Ovis aries: one gene and its partners. The protein of the gene in region 3 interacts with the protein of the main gene of each other region in a pairwise test. Links are inferred from orthologs where the notes say so. Each region holds a gene or a part of one and is shown on either strand. Other genes may lie near its edges.

Region 1 (7,477 bases), on a different chromosome or scaffold from region 3:
AACCAGGGCAGAGATTCAGCTAGTATGTTCCTATATAGATGTACCAGTTGTTAAAATATAGAAATGCTTTTGTTCTGTTGGTATGTTACCCAGGACACTCCCCTCCAACCTCCCAAGATCTGGTAACTAGAGGGTTAGGGCTCTGGTTGGCCTCCTGAGATTGGCCAACGGCCCTGCTGTACAGATGGAATGTCCCAGCACTTCTGATGGGCTCCACCCCCTTCCTCATGCCTGTAATACTATATAGAACCCAGGAGGCACACCAGCCTCTCCACACCCCTCACGGCAATAGAAGTCAGCCCTAGGGGTGCACCCTGGGAAATCAGGACTGGATAACTTGCCCCGGCTGACAGAAATGGCCATCACTGTCCTCAGCACAGCGCTAGCAGAGGGTGAAGAACCCTCCTGAAGTAACAAGGGCTACCCTGTAGATGAAAGAAGGTGGGACTCCAACCAGTACACTGCAGTTCCCAGAAAATGTGGTCCCCACCTCCACTCCCACTTCCCCAGTGTGGTGCCTCAGAGCTTGCCGGCCTCTGTTCCTGCCAAAGTCCATCCAAGGGCTGGGCCACCCCCAAACACTGGGCACTTGCAACCAAGAGCCCATTTCCCACACGATCTAGCCTTCAGCTATGGTTACCTTTTTGCTCTCAGAAAGTTTGAGGGGGTTGCTTTCCTCTGAAGCTTCTTCATCATCCTCCTCCTCCTGGTCGTCTTCGTCCTTACCCTCCTGGTTGGGGAACTCTTCGTCTTTCTCCTCCTGATCGTCTTTGAACTTAACCTCTTTAGGACCTGATGGCTCAGAAACCATTCTGTCCTGGGACTCCTCCTTTGTTTCCTCCTTCTTTTCCTCTTTCTCCTCCTCCTTTGTTGGACCATCCAAGGATGTGTGGCTGGCCTTATAGTACAGCACCACCTCCAGACTCTGTGGGCGGGGGCAGGACCGGGGATGCTGCTATGACCTTCACGATGATGCTCAACCACCTCGGGAACACGTGCTTCCTGGTGTGTCATGGTGCGTACACAGTACTGTGTCCCGGGACCCAACTGATGCCCCTGTGCACCATGTGGAGGGTAGCCACACCCAACTTCTCTGTGCCTGTACTACACCTACCTGGGACCACACACCTACCTGGGACCACATGTCTACCCAGGACCACACCTACCTATCCGGCCATTAGCCATTTCCTGTAGTTCTCAGAGCTAAAGATCCTACACCTCAACTGCTGTTTCCTACCCTTGCATGGTGGCTCCCATTTTATCCAATCCTCTTCCACGTATGTGTACACAGGGCTTTGAATAAATTCCTTTCTTTTCATCCATTTGGTGCTTCTCTTGGGCATGTGATCTAGGAAAACCACCTCCCACCCCTCCACAAATTGCACTGGGCTACCTGAAACAGTCATCCAGCCTGGGGGCTAGAGCTCCAGATCCGAGTGGTCCGTATTCTACCCTCCCCTTGACCTCACAAGAAAAGGGAGGACCAAACCACTACTAAGATGGATCTACTCTAGACAAGAGACCCCAGAAGCTTCTCTACAGTGACCTCATCTGGTCACAACGGTGATGGAGATGAATTTTCTTCCCAGGATCTCTGGTAACTTCCTACTCGTCTGACTACTAAGGTTACTACTCACCTTTGTAGTCTCAAGGCCGCTCTCAGTACTCTCTACGCTTGGCTTGGCCACCTTTTTATTTTTCACCCCATTGGCGTTCTTGTTCATGTTCTTGTTGCCGTTCTTGCCCCTGATTTCCTTGGTAACAGAGGACTTCTTCTCTTTGAGCTGGCGGAGCTCTTCCTGGCAGCACTGTAGCTGCCCCTCCAGCTGCTCCTGCACGGCCAGGAGCCGCCCCTGCTCATCCATGCTGGCCTGGTACTGCAGCTGCAGCTCCCGCAGCTTGGCCTGCAGTTCCTTGATCTGTTGGTAGTGGAGAGCCCATTACCCGCAGCTGGGCCTACGTGATTAGTCTGGCCCCTGCCTGGGGGTCCTGGCCTCAGAATCTCCCTGCTAAAGCCCGGGGGGAGGCAGATAATACAGAAAAAGTGAAAACCATGGGAAATTAGCCTCAAAAGCAGTTTTACAAAGAGGTTCTCCCTAATTTGAGGCACCTGACTTACAGCTAATGTGATTTAAAAAAAAAAGGATGACTTAAATTACGCTTTTTCTATGAACTGGTGGGGGAATGACTGCTGGGCTAACTGAACCATGGGGCTTGATTACCTAGTGGTTTTTGATAGGAACTCCTACTTCGCTCAGGCTATTTCTCTCACAGGTCAATCATTACTATAGGAACTGCGTCATATCATTCTGAGACCGGACTGGGCTCTTGCACCTTGCCCTGGAAACAAAGGCAACCGCCAACCCTGCTCACTGCTCACTGGTTTTTGTCCTTCCTGGCTTCTGGCAGCACACTGTGGCCTCTGAGGCAGGTACCAACACTAAGCAACTGAGGCCCATGTGTTTCCTGCTCTCTGAGCTTCTCCCATGTGCACAGTGACCCCCACTGGACAGTGGACTACTCCTGGTCAGAGTCAATGCCCTCTATCCCATTCTTAGGGATGCAGAGCACTCTGCTTGGTATTATGAGAAATCCAAAAGACCTGGCCCTGTCCTTGAGGGGCTTACAATCTAGTTAAAGAGACAAAGTGGAATATACACAAACTAACTAAAGAAAATTGGCAGGTAAGAAAATGCAACTCTACAGAAGTGCTCTAGGACAAAAGAGAGAACAAAATGGCAGACGGGAAAAAAATCATTTCAAGGGGTCTTGATGATCAGTAAATTCCAGAATAGCGGGCACCTGAGAAATGCCTGTCAGAGGCCCAGCAGACTGCCCTGCTGCCTGGAGTTCAGCCCCTACTCCGTCCCTCCACCAGGAGGATGGCACCTGAACAGAGTCAGCAGTGAGCTCCCGTCTCACCCTCAGCCTCTCTGAAAGGACTCCAACCTCCTTGGGTTCTGGGGACACCTATGAGAAGCCCTGCCTCGCTGAAAGCAGTTACCTCATTCTTGTCCTTGTCGTTTTGGGAGGCGACGGGCTTCTCAAGGCCTTCCATGCACTCCTTGAATTCCTTCTCGCAGGCGTCCAGCTCCTCCTTGAGCTCTTTCTGCTCATCCAGCAGCTTCTTCATCCGCTGCTGCAGCAGCTTGTGCTCTTCCTGGCTGAGCTGGTACATGGCCTGCACACCCTGCAGCTTGATCAGCACCTTGGCGACCACGTCCTCAAGGTGCTGTGGAGGGCGAGGAGTGAGGAGGGCACCCTGAGGAGCCCCTGCCCTCCACCCGCTCTCTTCGCTGGGCCCTTTTTTCTCATGGGTACAAAACACTGGCCGATAGGATCTGAAGCTGCCCAGGGGGAGAACACTGGATTTCTTCCCATGAAGAGCACATGACTGTGTTGATGAAAAGTCCAGAATCTTAGACTTCCGTCCAGATGGAACTGCATCTCCATAGGAAGTGGGGAGAGCACCTCATTCATTTCCTGACGGTCACCCAGCTCAGCTCTGAGCCCGCTGCCCACTTCACCTCTCGGGCCCTTCCCCGTGGCCTCTCCTAATGAGACAAGAACCATTGTCCCCTGTCTGACCGGACACCTGACTGCCTTTACCTCCACATCTCCAGGCTCGGCCAGCTCGTCGTCCATGCTGCTGCTGACGTAACTCTTGTGACAGGTGACGGAGCTGCTGCTGCTGCTGCCATAGCTCCTCTTATAGGTGTCGGAGCTGCTGCTGCTGCTGCTGAGGTAGCTCCGCTGACAGGACTCGCTGGCATCTGTGCTGCTTTCGTAGCTCTTGAGGAGGCTCTCTTCACTGGCCTGGCTGCTGCCGTAGCTCTTCTGGTAGCCCTCATCGTCATTGAGGTTGCAGCTCTTGTGGCAGTTCTCGTTGCTGGTGGTCGTGCTCGCGTAACTCTTCCTGTAGGAGTCCAGGCTCATCTTGATTGCAGGGGACTGGTCTTGGAGCAGCTGCATTTCTTCCAGACAGAGCTGCAGGTCGGCCTGCAGCCTCTTCCGCTCCTCCAGAAGCCGCTCCTGCTCCTGCTGGAGCAGCTCCTGCTCGGTCTCACTGGCCTCGTACAGCTCCTGCAGGGCCTGCATCTGGGCGATGATCATCTTGGACTGGCGGGAGTGGGTGGGGAGACACCAGCGTTACTTCAGACGCTGCGATCCTTCCAGCGGAACCCCTCCTGGTGAGGATGTCTGAGATCCCAGGTCAAGGAATGGCACACCTGGCCCTCCCAGCTCACCGTGGCCCAGGACTTCCACTTAGCCTGCAGGTACCTGGCATGATTCAATTTCTTACTCACTGGAGAAAATTTCCTAGGGCAGACACTCTGCAATTTCTGGGCTCTCACTTCCCCTGGCTTCTATGCTCTGGTAACCTCCTCTCTCCCTGGAGTAGCACTGAGTGGGTCTCAAGGTCACTCAGCCTCCCTTCTCTCTTCTTAGTCAGGTGGACCTATTATCCTGATCTATGGGGCTCAGTCCCCTCCTCCACCCCCAATTCTAAAATCACCCCTGGCCACGAACATGAGCGTACAAAGAACTCCTCCCTTGGAAGATGCAGACTTCCAATCAGGGTCTCACTATGAGTCCCTCTCCTGCCTCAATTCCAAATCTGGCTTCTGGCATGCTTCCTGGGCCCTCTGGGCCTGGCTCCTTGGCAGCTGATGCCCAGGATGAGATCTGATCTGTTAAGGAAATATTTGCTATTTCCTGGTCTGGTTCCTGGTCTCTGTTATCCAGGCTGAAATCGGATGCCCCTGGAACCTGATCAACCAAATTGCACAGTTTGGACTTCTGCTGCTCCATGCACCTCTGCCTGTCTAGGCTAATATCTGGACAAATCAATCTCACTTAAATGGAAACTGTCTTCCTGCTCTTCCTTGCCTACACTGAGGCCTCAGACCAAATGCATCTCCCAATCCTGAACACACTTGTTTAGAAATTTCCACCAGTATGACCTCAGAGGCCTGACCACTCACTGGTGCTTGAGACACATGGATTCTCTAGTCTAATGCCTCTGACCTGGCTGTTACTGCTGCAAAGTTCCAATCCAATGAAGACAGTGAGGTCAGTACCAAGAACCCCATATGCTGGGAATTTCTGTCTTGGAAACAAATGGCCCCAGATATGCCTCATGTAGAACACCAAAAGGTTACAGATTTGGATCACTGGAAAGCGAACATCTCAATTATCAACCAGCTCATGAGGAAAAGACATGTTTAGAGTCAGTCCTAAAGAACCCAAACACTAGGTTGATCTACCTCCAACTACATCTGGAAAATGAGGTATTAAAGAGACTGAGTTCAAAGGATCAGGAGATCACAGACTTCCTGGTCATCACAGTGCTTCAGCTGGGCATCCATCCAGAGGAGCAGCTCAGGCCAGCCCTAACTAAGGAGCCCATGAGTGGGCTTTAGCTTCCTCTCTGCTCCTGGCCTTCGGAACTCAGACCCTGCTATGGAGCCCCTTTCCCTAGCATGCTGCTACCCCCAGAACTGTCTCCCTACCTCTTGCTATGGTTACCTTGTTGTGACCACACTTTGAGGACTTAGGCCATTTGGGATCCTCGGGATTCTCCAACACTTCCCGGAAGCTGGACTCCTTGAAATGGTGCAGGGCTCCTTGCAGTTCTAACTGTTCTTTTACTATGTTCTCTTGGTTCTGTATCAGTTTCTTCTGCTCCTCCTGCATGCCTTGGTAGAGCATCTGCACTTCACACAGGTCCTGTAACTTTGTGAGGAGCTCCTGACTCTGTGAGGTGGAGCGGAAGGAAGTGGGCGGCACTGTGATGGTTACACGGAAAGACCTCTGCCTCCTTCCCTCTGGGGACCCTTCCCTCAAAGGAGTTGGCTTTGCTCAGCCCACCTGGGACAGGAGGGGAGTCTTTCTACACAGACCTGCTAGTGGAGGAGTAAAGACCTCCTGTGGGTGGATGTCTTTTGCTTTTTATAAAGTGATTTCAAGGACATTTTCTCCAGATGGACTAAATGTCTAAAACGTTGGACAGATTCCAGAGTTGAGGATGTATTTCAAGATTTAAAGCCCTAATCGGCTATTGTGAGCAGTTTTGTGAGAGGAGACTGGCGAGAAAGTGAGGAGTTAAGACAAAGTTCCATTTGCTCCCTTTCACTTCTCCTCAGGTCGCTCACATCCGGGAAGGGCCTCACAGCTGACGGCCGCCCTGGCCGCCATTACCTTGTGGAAGAGACCAGACTTGGGGAGCGGGAACGTGAGCCTGTGCAGCTCTTCTTGTAGCTGGCCCTGCTCCTCCTGCATCCTCCTCTGTTCCTCCAGGAGCTCGCACTGCTCCATCTGCATCTGCGCCATCTCCTTCTGGCTGGCCTTGTAACTCTCCTGCAATTCTGTCAGTCTGAAGAGCAGCGCGTCACACTGTGGACGGGGCAGGGCACACAGGGCGGTCAGCGGACCACGCCTGTGTTCTGTCCTGTGATTCACCAGAGTCTCCTGCCCTGTGGTCACCTTAGACTAATCACCCCAAGCTCCACTGTGCCCTCTAGAGGCCTAGATGCTGAACGGGAACCCCAGCAGGCCGCTCAGGGCTGAAGTTTGGCCATGCTGGATATTTTGCCTACTAGTCCTCTCTGAGGGTGGTTTTCAAGAGAGTGTTGGCAATGCCCCTCCCTTCTTACCTCCCTCCTGCTTCTTTCCTCTGGTGAAGACCATTTTCCCACCGTGCTGGGAATTCTAGTTCTCCAGTTGTTTCTATAACTGATTATGTTCCTTACCAATAACGATGTATTTTCACCCTAATTTTCCCCCATTTTTGTGTTCATCATCAGCTTCAAGAATCTTTAGAGAAGTATGAACTATTGCTGAGCTGGGGTTGAGAAGACTAAAGTATCCTATGATTCCAAAAACCCAATCTTCTAATATTAGACTAGTCTCAATGCTCTTTTAGGACTAGAGAAAAGACCGGCTCTGTGTGCCAGCATCCTTCTCCCTTCCTATGGTCCCCTCCCCTAGTAGAGGAAGTGATGAGCAGGATATGGACCCCTTGGACCTCTCAATGCAGTCGGTGTGGCGGGAGGAGAGAAAGTGAGCCTGGGTGTAGAAAGGCAGGTGGACTACTAGGGCAGCCCAAAAACCATCTCCAGCGCTGTGTCTTCGGAAGGCCTTCCCCTGGAGACACAGCATGCTGCAGCAGGAGCGAATGAGTATTCAAGCAGTATTTTGCATCATGTGTTGGCATTTTTCCATTTCCTGTCAGTGATCAGGAGCTGAAAGTACTCAATAAAGCTAACCAATAATGACTTGCCTTTTACACACTATGGAGAAAAGGGAAAGGAAGGAAGGAAGGCCTTATTCATCATCAGGATTTTTCACTAAAACAAAGTGAGGTAAGAAGTATTCTGCTCAATTTAAAAAGGGTAAGATTCGAGTTGAGAATTTAACTACTCTGAAGTCATGGAATAAATCCTGGAAAAGCCTAGGTTCTTCTAATAACCAATCA
Region 2 (7,477 bases), on a different chromosome or scaffold from region 3:
CTCAGAGTCACCTGCAATAAAAACCACTTCTTGCCATCAGCGATTCAGTGATTGGGATGGAATTTCATAAACACCAAAACTGACAAAATTGTCTCTGGCGTGTAGTTCTGGGTAGGGAAAAAGTCATATTTTTCACAGCAAAAAAAAAAAAAGAGGAGGGAGCATGTTTTCAACATCAAACTGTGGTCATCAAAGTTTTCCACTGATCTTTAATAAGTGACTTTCTTTTTTAATTTTGAAAATTGGGGTTAAGTAAGGGTGGTCCAGAAATCACTTTTATCGATACTCAAGGGCCATGAGGCCTCCACCTTGGGAATCTCAGTTCTGGTGAGAGCAGTGGTTCGGGAGACATCTCACAAGACTCTCCAGTTGGAGCAGAGTTCCCGAAGGCTTAGGTGGCCTGACACAGTCACCCATCAACCAAGCACTGAGCAGCCAAAGCTTGTAAGCAGGACGGGGGCAGGGAGGAGCCGACCAGCCGGCACCCTAGCGCTCTGGGCTCTGCACCCCTGTGCTGTGTTCTGAGAGGCGGCTGCTCTCCCACCGCTTCCCAGGAAAGCCAGCCCCAGTGGGGTCCTGCCGCGACCTCCCCGGGATCAGCAGAGGACTTCCATTGAAAATAATGGAAATTCACATTGGCGCACTTTCGATCCTTAAAAGGCAGGTGTCTTTCAATCCTTGAAGATATTCTCTCAAGCCAGAGGACAGGTAGGGTGGGGAGAAGTGTTTAAAAAGGAGGATGATCCATTTCATCGAGCCAAGAGGCCGGGCTAGTCGGAAAGTCGGGGTAGCCTACACTGCTTCCTGTGGAGATGTCAGAGGTGGGTCCCCCAGCCATGGCTCTCAGCGTCTGGCTTACTCCCTGCCCTGCATGCGCAATGATGCCCAAGTTACTGTCCACCGTGTAATCCAGCCCATTGAGCAAAGGAGCGTGGGATGGCAGGGACGAGATGGAGGATGGAGACTGGGGGATTCCATAGGGGCTCCCATCCCTCAAGTCCTGATAGGATTGTCCTGTCCCGTCCATGGAGAAGCTCCCATTCATTAACTGTCCGCCTGAAACGTCCCCCACGTTGCCATAAATCCTATTGGTGTGGCCAAGTTCTGAGAGAATCTGATCCTCTGTGGACAAAAGAACGGAGATTTATTGTCAGCCACCAGGACTCCAGTGCTCCCCTGATCTTCACAACCTAGGGATACACATGACCAGGAAAGAAGCCCGAGCATGAACCAGACACCAACCTGTCAGCCTGGCATCCAGACCCTGACCCACGTCAAGGGGAGAAACAGAACAAACACCTCCAGAGACCACACGCCCAGGTCCCAGGAGGCTGGACAAATGTTCCGTGAGCTTGTTGGTCTCAGGTGGGTCATGTATGAAGAGGGCTACACTAACGGCTATGGAGTATGAATGCCTGAGGTTTGCTGTATCACATGTCATCCGCAGCACAAATGGAAGAAACTCCGTGCTAACAGGATTTCATCTGAAAGCTTTCAAGCTGAGAAAAGTGCTTGATTCAGTTGTAGGGAAACAAGCAGGGCCGTAGGGTCAAGGGAGCTGAGGACTCATGACATGTATATACGAAAGCTTTCTGCTCTACCTGGGAAAGAGGTTCAGTATCAAAGGACTTGGTTTCTCTAAGTTCTTCACTGCGGACAAAGCATTGGATTGATTAAGGCAAATGGACCTTCTTGTTTCTTGATGAATTTCATTAACGGGATCTCGTGGTATCTTTGCCACCTGGAAGAATTCATCTCTCCAACAGAGGTGAACAATTTTAGTCTTAAGAAAAATAAGATTATATAGTTATGTGGAGAGACCAGTGATATGTCAACCTGGGGGCCCACCTGCACCCAACAGAAAGGAGCTACAAAATAAGACTTGATAATCCTGTGTGTTCCAGATGTTGATTTCAGCATCTTAGAGGAGATTGAATGGCTTTCCACCCCCATGTCCCCACCAAAGAGGCCTGGAAGGTGAGTCTGGAACATGCCCCAGGCCTCATGGGCAGACCTTTGGGCTGACTTACGGTCCTCTCAAGAAATCATGGTCCTCTCAGGCAGCTCTTGCCATCTGCTGCCCCACAGACTTACTTTCTATTCCCACTGGGCCTGTGTGTCCATTCCTACCAAGGCCACCCCAGAGTGGAGTTCAACACTTATCCCTTCTGACAACCTGCCCTAGGCTGTCCCACATCCCATCCATGAAAATGAAAAGGTGGAGGAGAGTCATGCCCTTTAAAGGGGGCAGGAGATGAAGGCTCAGCTACACTGTAAAATGGCCATTAACTGGCATTTTGCCTACACCTGTCATCCCCAGTGACCAGGGCCCTCTGTGGGAACCACAAGCTTCCTAAGAATGGTTGTGTCTTCCAAGTGTAAAAATGTGCTGAGCTCTCTCCAAAGGCATCCACAGTCAGTTGTATTCACGGATTCCCACAAGACCACTGGGATATGGGCAAGGATACTGTTATACCCATTTAGAGATGGGTAAGGCTCAGGAAAAGTAAATCAATTGGACAGAGCCACAACTGGAAACCAGATTTCTGATTCCCCCAGCTCAGGCCTCTTCCCTTCTCCTGCCACAACAGAAGACCTTCCACATTTGAGGACTCAATACAAGAGAACGGCTATTTGCAAACAACTAAAGGATCCAAAACATGCATCCATTTGCAATTCTGCTGATGCACAAAATTTGAATGTAGCACATGCAGCAAAGCATATGTGCTGGGGACAAGACGGAGTGAGCGCTGGGGGAAGGGATTTCAGAATGAGGCCAGCCCCCACCTCACATGCACTCGCAGTACTGACTCCCCAGGGCCAAGGGCTGTGACGCACATCCTCCCACCACCAGCAGAAAAGAGGGCTCACTCTAGGGGGTCACGGGAGGAAGGCCACTAACCCCATTGAGGGGAGAAATGCTGGAGAGGGGCTTGGGGCACAGACTGAGACATAGGGGTCCTTTGCAGCTGTGTGGGCTGATGAGGGAGCCCCGGGCAGCGGGCAAGGAGGGGAGGCCTTCGGGCCTGCAGGCCTGGGAGCCCAGCTTCCATGGGTCAGCAGCAGAGCTCTGGTTTCCTCTGCCCTGTCCCCTCTGAAAGGCCACGGCCATGTCCCCCCACCCTTTACTCCAAGTCACAGGGTGGGGCCTGTGTTCAGGAGAGAGCTGGCAAAGCCGCCAGAAAGACCCCTCCTGCCTGTCGGGGGTCACTGTTTCCTAGGGGCCTCTCCTAGGGCCTCGGCCTCGCCCCTCCAGCCCTGCTCACCTCGGAAGCTCAGCTCACTGTCACTAACCCCACAGTCCTCCGCAGAGCTCTCCTTCTCCTGCTTGCTGCCTGCGCGGCTCCTCTTGACACTCTTGTAGAACTGCCCCCAGCGGTGCCGCCCCGCATCCTTCTTCAGTCGCTTCTCCTTGGCCCTTCTGTTCTGAAACCAAACCTACCACAACAAGCAAAGGGACACACTTTGGGGGTGTCCGCCATGAGCCCAAAGCCCCAGGGGTCCCCGAGCCCAGAGACAGAGGCTGAAGCCCAGCAGATGGGTGAGGAGCGGGTTGTGCCCATCGCTTCCCCTGGCCTGGGCCTCAGACATCTCTGGTTCAGCAGATTTCCTGGGCCATGGCCCTGAGCCCAGCGCCCCGAGGGGATCAGGGACAGCACTGTGAGGCGCCATGGTTACCTGGAGCCGTCCTCCTGTGGACGCGCGGATGTGGGGACCCACAGGACACCCTCCGCCCCCACGCCAGACCTGGCACTAGGTGGTGCCCGGCCTGGGACCCCCGGTCAGCAAAGTCGCCCCCATGGGTCGGGGTGGCTGGAGCCTCACCTGTACAACCCTCATGTCCAGGCCTGTCTCCGAGGACAGCTGCTCCCTCACGTGCCGGGCAGGCTTAGGGGAGTTCTTATAGGCGTTCTTCAGAGTCTCCAGCTGCTTCGCTGTGATGGTGGTCCGGGGCCGCTTAGCTCCAGCCTCTGAGTCATCTGCAACGAAAACCACTTCTTACTGTGTCCAGCCCATCTGAAGCAGCTGGGTCTCACCCCTCCTTCCTCCTTTCCTCATGTAATCTTGCCTGCTATGGGCAAGAGGGAGGAAGAATGGGGAATGTCAGGGGAGAGTATTCTTGATCCACATGGAGCCCACTCCTGCACTACAGGCCTTCCCGAGTCACTGAAAAGGTAGGACAATATGCTGTTCCCTCAGCTCCCTGCCTCTCCCCATTCCTTCCCAGCCCAGCCACACGGGGCTCTCATCAGACTGAAGGCGTACCATTCTACATGTTTCCCCATCATGGCACACTCCACTGGCCAACCTCGTGAGTTACTGCCAAGGCTGCAGAGGGGAAGGAGACAGAAGGAAGTCTTTGCCCTGGGCTGCCCCAGATACCTGTCCCTCCTCCCATCAGAAGCCTCCATTCCCCCAGGTCCCACCCATGATCTCATTGCCTTTCCACAGCCCTGGGCTCACAGCAAAGGTGACGTGTCCATTTACTATTCACCTAAGCAATGTTCATAAATTATGGGTCAGAACCCAAAAGTGGGTTGTAAAGTCAATTTAGTTGATCAAAAACTAAAAGAGCAAACAAGATGGATAACATGAAATGAGATGAGATGGGATGGGATGGGATGGGATGGGATGGGATGGGATGGGATTGGGTGGGATAGGATGGGGTGAGGTGGGATGGATGGATGGGACCGGGGGGTAGGGTGGGGTGGGATGGGATGGGGGGTAGGGTGGGGTGGGATGGGATGGGGTAGGGTGGGTGGGATGGGATGGGGTAGGGTGGGTGGGGTGGGATGGGATGGGGTAGGGTGGGTGGGGTGGGATGGGATGGGGGGGGGGGGTGGGGGGGGTGGCGTGGGGGTGGGGGGGTAGGGTGGGGTGGGGGGGTGGGGTGGGGTGGGGTGGGTGGGGTGGGGGGGGGTGGGGTGGGTGGGATGGGGTAGATAGGATGGGGTGGGGTGGGGTGGGGTGGGGTGGATGGGATGGGGTGAGGTGTGTGGGATGGGGTGGGATGGGTGGCCTGGAGTGGGATGGATGGGATGGGATGGGATGGGATGGGGTGGGGGGAATGGGATGGGATGGGATGGGATTGATGGGATGGGATGGGATAGGATAGGATGGGATGGGATGGGATGGGTGGGGTGGGTGGGAAGGGGTTGGGGTGAGATGGGATGGGATAGGATGGGGTAGGGTGCGGTAGGGTGGGATAGGATGGGGTAGGGTGGGGTAGGGTGGGATAGGATGGGGTGGGATGAGTGGGATGGGATGGGGTGGGATGGGGTGGCCTGGGGTGGGATGGATGGGATGGGATGGGATGGGGTGGGGTGGGGTGGCCTGGGGTGGGATGGATGGGATGGGATGGGGTGGGATGGGGTGGCCTGGGGTGGGATGGATGGGATGGGATGGGATGGGGTGGGGTGGGGTGGCCTGGGGTGGGATGGATGGGATGGGATGGGGTGGATGGGATGTGGTGGGGTGGGTGGGATGGGGTGGGGTGGATGGGCTGGGGTGGGATGGATGGGATGGGGTAGGGGAGGTGGATGGGGTGGGGTGGGGTGGCCTGGGGTGGGATGGGATGGGGTAGGGTGGGGTGGATGGGATGGGGTGGGGTGGGGTGGATGGGATGTGGTGGGGTGGGGGGGGATGGGGAGGGCTGATGTGGGATGGATGGGCTGGGGTGGGCTGGATGGGGTGGGCTGGGGTGGGCTGGATGGGATGGGGTAGGATAGGATGGGGTGGCCTGGAGTGGGATGGATGGGATGGTATGGGGTAGGGTGGGGTGGGTGGGATGGGGTGGGTGGGATGTGGTGGGGTGGGTGGGATGGGGTTGGATGGGATCAGATGGGGTGGGGTGGATGGGCTGGGGTGGGATGGATGGGATGGGGTAGGGGAGGTGGATGGGGTGGGGTGGGGTGGCCTGGGGTGGGATGGATGGGATGGGGTAGGGGAGGTAGATGGGGTGGGGTGGGGTGGCCTGGGGTGGGATGGATGGGATGGGATGGGATGGGGTGGGGTGGGGTGGGATGGGGTAGGGTGGGGTGGATGGGATGGGGTGGGTGGGATGTGGTAGGGTGGGTGGGATGGGGTTGGATGGGATCAGATGGGGTGGGGTGGATGGGCTGGGGTGGGATAGATGGGATGGGGTAGGGGAGGTGGATGGGGTGGGGTGGGGTGGGGTGGTCTGGGGTGGGATGGATGGGATGGGATGGGGTGGGATGGGATGGGGTAGGGTGGGGTGGATGGGATGGGGTGGGGTAGGTGGGATGGGGTGGGGTGGGATGGGATGTGGTGTGGTGGGGGGGATGGGGAGGGCTGGGGTGGGATGGGTGGGGTGGGGTGGGGTGGATGGGATGGGGTGGGATGGGGTGGGGTGGGGTGGGTGGGATGGGATGGGGTAGGGTGGGGTGGATGGGGTGGATGGGATGGGGTTGGATGGGATGTGGTGGGGTGGGGGGATGGGGTGGGCTGGGATGGGATGGATGGGATGGGGTGCGGTGGGTGGGATGGGGTGGGGGGGATGGGGAGGGCTGGGGTGGGATGGATGGGCTGGGGTGGGGTGATGGGATGGGGGGGGATGGGGGGGGATGGGGAGGGCTGGGGTGGGATGGATGGGATGGGGTAGGGGAGGTGGATGGGGTGGGGTGGGGTGGGGTGGCCTGGGGTGGGGTGGATGGATGGGATGGGGTGGGCTAGGGTGGGATGGATGGGATGGGGTGGGCTGGGCTGGGGTGGGGGGGATGGGGTGGGATGGATGAGGCAGATGAGGGCAAGTGTTGCTTCATGAAACTTGATCAGTGTCAGGTGTATGAATGTGTGTGCTGAGTTAAAACAAGTTTCTTACTGTGGCTTATATTCAAACACATTTTTTTGAAAAACACTTGTATAAAGAGTGTTCAGGACAACAAGCTGACTAATCAACTGTCTTCAACGGATTTTGAGTCTCAGGTGCCTGTAAGTCAAAGGCTCTTCTCAGCCAGAGTCCAACACAGAAGCAGCACTGAGCGTAAATGGTTTGCTCCTCTCCCAGCACTCAGGCTCATCCATTCTCTGCCCAGCACCCCTGTCCAGAGTCAGGAAGCGGAATGGCAGCTGCCTCCAGCCCCCTGAGTTCTCTGTGCCCCTTCACACTGGTGTCCTTTGAAGAGGGTCTGCTCCATGTCTATCTTCTTCCCTTCCATCCAAGGAAGTTCTCTCTTAAAACAACAATAATAGCTGATGTTTATCAAGAGCTTGATGTGCCTATGATCCTCATGACCATTCTAAACGGCTTTTCTCGGGGTCAGAAGACCTGGGTTCTCCATTCTCACTGAGTCAGTGACGTGGGCAAGTCCCCTCACCTTCAGAAGCCTGGGTGTGGGCAGCCCGGCTCACACAACAAGCCATGGTGCACACAGTGGGTGGGGGACAGGCCCCCAGTCCTCCCTTCTCCTCGGGCTGTTTTCTTCCCCAGCAGAGCCACCGTCATCCTCAAAGCCCC
Region 3 (8,170 bases):
TTTAGCATTCATATTTCTGAAGTTATTAAAGCTTAAATCAGCACTAAGACTTCTGGGACACCGCATATTAATCACTCAGTTAATCCTCACGACTGCCCTAAGCAACAGGTGCTATTATTATGCCCGTGTGCAGATGAGGAAGCTAGGGTTTGGAGAGGTGGTGTGGCTCCCCCAGGGTCACACTGGGACTGGGACCTACCTGGGCTCTGTCTGCTAACGCCTACCTTGAAGCCAACCCATCGCCCCCTTCTCTCTTCCCTGGCCTTTCCCTGAGCTGGCACAGGCTGGGGTTCCTGCAGCATGGGGTGAGGGGGTCCAGGTGTCCACCGTCTAGGCAAAACAGCGTGGCGGGTACAGACTCCCAAAGGAGCTGCCTTTCGAGTTTCCACTGCAGGCAGATGAAAGCGAAGCCAGGCGCAACCTGAGCCCCGGAACAATGCTGATCTGCCGAGAGATGGTCCAGGAGGCCTCCATTTCACCCGTGATGCCAAGCTCCTGCATGTCCCCCGCCTCCTACCCTTGCGGCAGCTTGGCCCACTCCCCAGGGTACCCAGACTAGGTGAGTCAGGGCTTAAAATGAACCCTATCTTCCTGGGGCCACTAGCGCATTACATCAGCCACTGTCATTTCCTGCCGCTCACGTGAAGGGCTCCCTAACCTGCCCAGCCAGGGGAGGGACTTGCTCCCCAGGAATGCCAGGCACTCTTGGCCCCCAGGGTATGGGATGGGTGATGCCCAACATCCCAGGAGCCTTCATGGCCCCTCTCTGCCTAGATCCACTCTGCTGTCTGGGGTGAAGGCATGCCAGCTTCTGTGGCCTTGCCACTGCCTGGATAGAAAGCCCCCAGCTGGGCTTCAGACATAGACCTCAGCGGGGTTCAGTCCCTTTCCTCCTATCTGTGTCTGAGGTAGGTGAGTAGGGAATCCCAGGCAGTCCCACAGGTGCTTGGGAACCGTCACAGGGGTGACCTCAGAGCTTCCCAAAGCTGCTTGCTAACAACATCGGAATGAGGCACTGACTGAGACGGCTGACCTTGAAGGGTAAAGTGGGCTGACAGAGGGGCCCTGTCTCCATCTACACTTTCCCACCCACAAGCCCGGCTGCTGGGACACTGCCTAGACACAAGCGTCATCCCCTAGGTCGCGGGATGTCCTGGCAGGAGTGGAACATGTAGGCGGAGGGGGAGGTTGGGGTGGGGGATATTTGTGCTCTCACAGTTCAGGAGTTCTGTTTACTGCTCTCAGATGCCCAGGAGCCTCAGCCTGGAGCTAGCGGCTCTACCTCTTGGGCTGGCACCCTCTGACCCACCAGTTTAGTGCCTGATAGGCCTTGGCCGGGGGTCATCAAGGGGATTGGGTCCCTCTCAGTTTCTCTAGATCCCAACAGTTACTCAAGGGCTGGGACGGGCAAAAGAGGTAAAATAAAGAGACTGGAGATTAAAACCAGAATTCCGCCTGGAGGAGAAGAGGTGGGTGGGCTTAACGCAGTGTCTCTTCAGGGTTCTCCTTCATTTGGGTTGGGAGGGGGTTGGCATCTCTATACCTCCAAGAAAAGGCAAAGATATGGGGCCCCCAGGCAGTATTGGAATTCTTAAATTCTGTTTTCTAACCACGACTGTCCCAGGCACTCTCCTGGAACCCCTACCCCAGGGGAGAGCCCCAGGCTCCTTCCCTCTCCTCCAGGGCTTCAGCTTCCTCCTCCTGGCCTCCCAGCCCTTGGTTCTGCCCCTGGGTCTTGCCCATAGCACCTCCAGGCCTGGTGGGGTGGCCTCTCACATGCTCCCCCAAACAGACAGGGATCCCTCAAACAGACAGTCCAGGGCCCTAGGGACAACGGCCCTGTGAATTTCGGATACCAAAGGAGCAGTTACCGACCTGTGTCCGGGGACACTGGGCAGGATCTGGGGGCTTCTCCTTCCCCGGCAGGGCAGGGAGTGCAGTGGCGAGCCCAGAAGCAGGAGTCTGACTTGGGCCGGGTAATCCGGGGCTCAGGTTACTGACTCGATATATATAGTATCTTATCTGACCTCATGGAGATGGCTAGCTCCACTCGCTGGCATTCTGAGCCCAGGGAGAATTAAAGGGGCAGTGGCAGGCCCTCCCTCTCGAGGTGGGTGCCAGGCAAGGAGATCCTGGGAGACTGTTTGCAGGGAGCATTTTGAAATGGAACAGAAGGGGGATTCAAGGGGAAGCAGAACTGGAAAGAGGGTAGAGGGATGGGGGTGGAATTAGGCAAAAATATGGAGAAGGAGGTGTCAGTCACAGAAGTAGAGAAGAGAAAGAAGCCCCAGTCCACCTCCTTTAGCTCTGAGATGGAGGAGACCTGGAGGCAGACAGCAGCTCCCTCAAGGACACAGAAGCAGGGAGAGGCAGAAGGGACCTCTCTCAGGTTTCCAGTTCAAGCTCTTTTATAATGGACTTCTAGGCTTGGGCTTGTATTCCAAGTCTTTCCTTTTTATTGCCTCAGAGACATTTAAGCGGTCATTTAAGTGGTCCAAACCTTATTTAGTCTTAAAACAGGAGTAATAATAATGATATACCTCATGGAGGTGAGGATTAAATAATGCTTGTTAATTTCCTGGCACATAGTAAGAGTTCAATAAATGATAATCACTACTAGATCAAATACTTCCACTTCTAATTAGTGGTAGCATTTGTCAGGTGAACCTTGCTAGTGAGAAAAGGTTCCTCCAGGCCACCCCGTGGGAGTGCCCTGTTCTCATGTCAGAAAACTGCCATGGTTTTCCGAGCTGATCCGTGTCCCATAGCTGGCAAGGCAAATGAGGCTTACCCTATTCCCAGATGTGCAGTCCACCCATCAGAGGAGGGCCAGGCCCACTTGGGCTCTTTCCTTCTCTACCTAGAAAAATATATAGCAAGTGTAGCTTCCCCCAGGCTACCAGGAGCAAGCCTGGCTGCTCTGGAGTGGTTCCACTCTACCTGGAGGAGTGTTCAGGATCCCGAGCCTACAGAGCCAGGCTGGCTGGGCAGGGTCACAGGAGGAAGGTGCAGGATTCTGAACCTCTCGGACCTTGGTGCTCTTGTCAGCTCCCAGCTGTTCCTCCTGTTTCTCGATGGCTGTCCCTGAGGACTGGGAGTACCCGGGATGGTGCCTCCACCCTGTCTCAGCAGAGACTACTGACTCAGCTCAGGTCCTGATGATGCACTTCAGAGGACGCCCTCGTCCCCAGCCCTCATTCCAGTCCTCATTCCGACTCCAGTCTGGCATCATCTACAGCATCAAAGGAATGGTGGCTGCTCCAACCCCAGCCCAACCAGCTCTCCTTTCCTCCACTGTACATGTCGGACTCTGGGGACCTATTCCTGCCTGTGCCTGGGGAGATGAGCATGGGCAGGATCTCCAGCTCAGTTCCATTCTAAGAGCGGCCAGGTCAGGAGGTAGATGCTCCTCCTTAGAGGACAGCCAGAATGGGCTTCCTTAGGCTGTTGAGTATAAGTTACTTGCCTTGGAGCATCGCGTGCCTGATTCTGGTTTGGGATTGGTGAGAATTTCAAAGATGCCTCTTTCTTGTTTGGGATTGGTGGAAAATCTACCCCTTTTCCACTTAACTACTACCCTCCCCCCCACCCCTACCCCTCTTTGGCAAACTGATCAGAGACAAGCCCCCAGGAGCTTTGAGAGGAGGGAGTAAGAAGGCTGCCACGCACACGTGGGGAGGGGTTTGCCAGGGCCCAGGCGTCACTCTCCGCCACATCCCACACAGGGCTCGGAGATGCGGTCCTGCCCAAGCAGCGTTTCCTGAGAACACACTGATCAGCACACAGATGGCTCTCCCTGGCACCCTGAGCTGTCGGCTCACACACACAACTGGCACCCACAGCTGGAGATCCTCAGCGCAGCTGGCACTTGCCCTACATTTCTAGTGCCCATTTTGCCCAGGCGGTCGTTGACACCTCACTCTCAGAGCCTCACACGGCACTGCCCTCCGTATCCCCTCTTCCCCAGTCTCCGACAGGTGGCACGTACCTGCCTATTCTCTGAGGATGGATGAGTCGAGCCGGGCACAAGCATGGAGCTACCGATGAGTCCCGGCTGGTACTGGAGCGGCGCAGTAAACAGCCGCTGACGCAGAGGGCTCCCTGGCCTCGGCTCTTGCCCGCCTCTACCCCACCTCCGCCGGGGGCCCAGAGAGGACCTCCCCGGGAAATCGGCGCCACCCAGCGGGCTGCCGCCTCATTGCGCCCGGGGCCGGCAAAGCCACACCTCGCGTCTAGCGTCACTGAGACGCGTCACGGCGATTGGCTTGTTCCTATTATGACGTCATCAGAGCCCCGCCCGACCAGGATCTCCCAGGCGACCGACATATACAGAGAACCACGTGGAGAAAAGGCACGCGAGCTTGGAAGGGGTGGTTGGAGTACCTGAAGTGGGCCTGAATATGACACGACGGGACAGCTGGAAGGTATTGGGAAAGAGGAAGGGTCACGGGGAGAAGGCTCAGCGTTGAACCCCAGGGCGTACATATCAGCTTTCAGATTTTAGGGAAGGCTAAATGTTCCAGCTCCTTCCCACCCGACTGGGAGAGGGCCAGTTCTTCTGGCTCTTCCCTTCTCTACTCTTTAAGACACTCTCTGCTTATTTTACTAACATGAGACGAGTGACTGGTGGTGTTTTCTGAAGTGGGTAAAACGGTGGCACTGGGTCAGTAGAAGAGATTCTCTTTTTGTCTTTCAAGAAAAAGCCAAAGGAAACTTGATTTTTTGGGTCACTTCCATTCTTTGTATATAACTTTCCCCCCTTTCCTCTACTGTGAAGAAAACCACACGGCCAGGTAGATTGGTGCCAAGGCAAGTCCAAGGTTTTCAGTTTCACCTGGACCGTCAGTCCTTCCAAGTGTCCTTAGCTGCTTCTCTTGTTCTCTGCAGCTGGCATTTGTCCATTACCACTCTCCCAAGTCCCTCCTTGTCTTCTATTTCCCTGAGGAACTGGAGGCAATCAGGAGGGAAATCCTTAAAGTTCTGCCTACAAACATAGCTGAATTCATTCTTACCTCTGCTCCAGGAGCGGTGAGAGCTGTGTCCCTCTTGTGCAAGACAAATACCTTCCAGATCGCAGCTCTTGTGTTTCCTATTGTTACCCTCAAACCGGGTTCCCCTTTTGGTGGGTGTCAAGCCAAAAGACAACCAAGTCAAAAGATCTGGAGAAGGAAGAATTTATTACTTGCAGCAAGGGAGGAGAGTAGATGGGATCTTTCCCCAAGCAGTGTCTCCCTGAATAGCAAAATTGGGGAAGTTTTAAGCTAAGGGTACATGCATATTCATGAGGGATTGAGCAGTGTATGCATATTCATGAAGGGGCTTAAACGGAATTCCACATAGAATTGGATCAAAGGTTAACAGCCTTCAGTTTGGTTCAGTCCCTCAGTCACTGACTCTGCAACCCCATGGACTGCAGCACACCAGACTTCCCTGTCATTCACCAACTCCTGGAGCTTGCTCAAACTCATGTCCATTGAGTCGGGGATGCCATCCAACCATCTCATCTGTCATCCCTTTCTCCTCCTGCCTTCATTCTTTCCTAGCATCAGGCTCTTTTTCAGTGAGTCAGTTCTTCGCATTAGGTGGACAAAGTATTGGAGTTCCAGCTTCAGCATCAGTCCTTCCAATGAATAGTCAGGACTGATTTCCTTTAGGATTGACTGCTTTGATCTCCTTGCAGTCCAAGGGACTCAAGAGTCTTCTCCAACACCACAGTTCAAAATCATCAATTTGTTGGCCCTCAGCTTTCTTTATAGTCCAACTCTCACATCCATATATGACTACTGGAAAAACCATAGCCTTGACTAGATGGAATTTGTCAGCAAAGTGATGTCTCTGCTTTTTAACAGAGGGCTTTAGTTGATTGAAGGAAATGGCAACCCACTCCAGTACTGTTGCCTGGAGAATCCCACAGACAGAGGAGCTTGGTGGGCTACAGTCCACGGGGTTGCAAAGAGTCAGACACGACTGAGTGACTTCACCTTAGTTGATTGAAGTCAGAGTGTTGGAAAAGGTCAGCATCATTCCCTAGATTCAGACCTGTCTAGGGTCTCAGCAGATAGTTATCATCCTCCACCTTGGTGAGGCTCTTAGATCCAGCTGAACGAAAAGACTGACATCAGATTCTTATGTGTATCCCTTGAGGAAGAACTAGGACTCTTTTTATTAAACTATTGTTTACTATTACTTAACTGAGCAATTGTTTCTTGACTGGTTTTCCTTTATTTCTGCATTCTTTCCCTTCACTTAAGGTCGTTGGTCACTGAGACCTGTTCAAGATCTGCCACTGAGGCCAGGCTTAGATGACAAAACAGCTTCAGCCAAAAATGGCTTCTCCTCTGTCAAGAAAGCAATACCTAGTTCTCTTTCTCCAGGGACCGCCTACTCTGTTTACCTTAGGACCCTCATTCCATTGCATTTTAGGGATAGCTACTGGACATGCTGGGTAATCTTCTTGGAAGTGGGGATACAGCAGTGAACAAAACAGGCGAAGTCTTTGCCTTTAAGGAGCTTACATTTTGTAGAAGTAGAAGACAATAAGGAAATAAGTAAACTATATAGTATTGGATGGCATTCAGAGTGATAGAGGCAAATAAAACAGGGAGGATGATACAGTGTGTCAAGTGATATCAGAGATGGTCCCAATGATAAAGTGACTTTGGATAACCCAAAGGAGCTAAGGGAGTGAGCCATCTGGATGTCTGGGCAGAGAGTATTCGAAACAGAGGGAACAGTAATGCAGATGTCCTGAGGTAGGCCACCTTTGAGGAAGAGAATGAAGATCAGTGCGGTTGGAGTGAAAGAGGACAAGCTAGAGACAGGAAGACAAAGTCAAAGAGATAAGGGAACACCCTTGTTGGATCCTAAGAGCATTTCAGTGACTTTAACTTTTACTGGAAAGATTTCTAGTAGTCATGTATGGATGTGAGAGTTGGACTATAAAGAAAGCCGAGTGCCAAAGATTTGATACTTTTGAACTGTGATGTTGAAAAAGACTCTTGAGAGTCCCTTGGACTGCAAGGAGATCAAAGCAGTCAATCCTAAAGGAAATCAGTCCTGAATATTCATTGGGAGGACTGACGCTGAAGCTGGAACTCCAATACTTTGGCCACCTAATGCGAAGAACTGACTCACTGGAAAAGAGCCTGATGCTGGGAAAGAATGAAGGCAGGAGGAGAAAGGGATGACAGAGGATGAGATGGTTGGATGGCATCCCCGACTTGATAGATATGAGTTTGAGTAAGCGCCGGGAGTTGGTGATGGACAGGGAAGCCTGATGTGCTGCAGTCCATAGTGTCGCAAAGAATCGGACACGAACTGAACTGAACTGAACTTTTACTTTGAGATAGGAGCCACTGAACAGAGGAGGGACGTAGATCTGATTTTTGCTTTAACAGAGTCCCCAAAACCACTGTATGTCATGGCAGTCTGAGCCTGGGTTGGAAAAGAATTTCCAGACACAGAGTATTTCAGAAGGGAGTGAGTTTAGGGTGCTTCAAGTGAAGTGGGCTGACCTTCTGACAGGTCAGGGAGAGTCAACAGTTTTTGTGGGTTAGTAGCCAATTTTTATCGGAGAAAGCAATGGCAACCCACTCCAGTCTCTTTCCTGGAAAATCCCATGGACAGAGGAGCCTGGTAGGCTGCAGTCCATGGGGTCGCTGAGGGTCGGACATGACTGAGTGACTTCACTTTCACTTTTCACTTTCATGTATTGGAGAAGGAAATGGCAACCCACTCCAGTGTTCTTGCCTGGAGAATCCCAGGGACAGGGGAGCCTGGTGGGCTGCCATCTATGGGGTCGCACAGAGTCAGACAGGACTGAAGCGACTTAGCAGCAGCAGCAGCAGCAGCCAATTTTTATAGCCTCAAGAAAAAAAATTCCTGCTGGAAAGGTGGCATTAGGTGATTGGTTAGGGTGAGTATTTTGCCTAATTTGGGGTCAGGAAGCTGTCTGTAAGTACTGGGGGGCTTTTGGCAATGGTTACAGCTGGGTTCAGTTAGTTCCATAGATGGCCTTGGTTCAAGGTCTCGCATCTGTGACCTTGGTATGGGACCCCACAGTGAATGGAGGACAGATCTGAAGAGAGCCTGAGTAGAAGCAGGAGACCAAGTATGTCACTACAGTCATCCTCTGAGAGGTGATGGTGGCTCTGGTTAGTGTGGTAACAGG

What was found.
Region 1: the proteins of USP2 (region 3) and CCDC136 interact in binary tests that used the Homo sapiens proteins (3 or more experiments, as listed by UniProt). The two-hybrid records come from large-scale screens. The link is inferred for Ovis aries from reciprocal best matches to the Homo sapiens genes USP2 and CCDC136.
Region 2: the proteins of USP2 (region 3) and LHX4 interact in binary tests that used the Homo sapiens proteins (3 or more experiments, as listed by UniProt). The two-hybrid records come from large-scale screens. The link is inferred for Ovis aries from reciprocal best matches to the Homo sapiens genes USP2 and LHX4.

What each region holds. Positions count from the first base shown.
Region 1 is NC_056057.1:94,475,414-94,482,890, reverse strand, and holds part of CCDC136 (coiled-coil domain-containing protein 136), read right to left. Parts: intron 6,397-7,477; coding exon 6,202-6,396; intron 5,758-6,201; coding exon 5,530-5,757; intron 4,120-5,529; coding exon 3,610-4,119; intron 3,233-3,609; coding exon 3,005-3,232; intron 1,920-3,004; coding exon 1,638-1,919; intron 926-1,637; coding exon 641-925; intron 1-640. UniProt on the Homo sapiens protein: May play a role in acrosome formation in spermatogenesis and in fertilization.
Region 2 is NC_056065.1:60,846,427-60,853,903, reverse strand, and holds part of LHX4 (LIM/homeobox protein Lhx4), read right to left. Parts: intron 3,981-7,477; coding exon 3,826-3,980; intron 3,439-3,825; coding exon 3,267-3,438; intron 1,123-3,266; coding exon 728-1,122; 3' UTR 1-727. UniProt on the Homo sapiens protein: May play a critical role in the development of respiratory control mechanisms and in the normal growth and maturation of the lung. Binds preferentially to methylated DNA.
Region 3 is NC_056068.1:29,667,598-29,675,767, forward strand, and holds the start of USP2 (ubiquitin carboxyl-terminal hydrolase 2), read right to left. Parts: upstream 4,127-8,170; 5' UTR 3,989-4,126; intron 3,094-3,988; exon of another isoform or gene 2,941-3,093; intron 2,856-2,940; exon of another isoform or gene 2,792-2,855; intron 1,965-2,791; exon of another isoform or gene 1-1,964. UniProt on the Homo sapiens protein: Hydrolase that deubiquitinates polyubiquitinated target proteins such as MDM2, MDM4 and CCND1. Isoform 1 and isoform 4 possess both ubiquitin-specific peptidase and isopeptidase activities.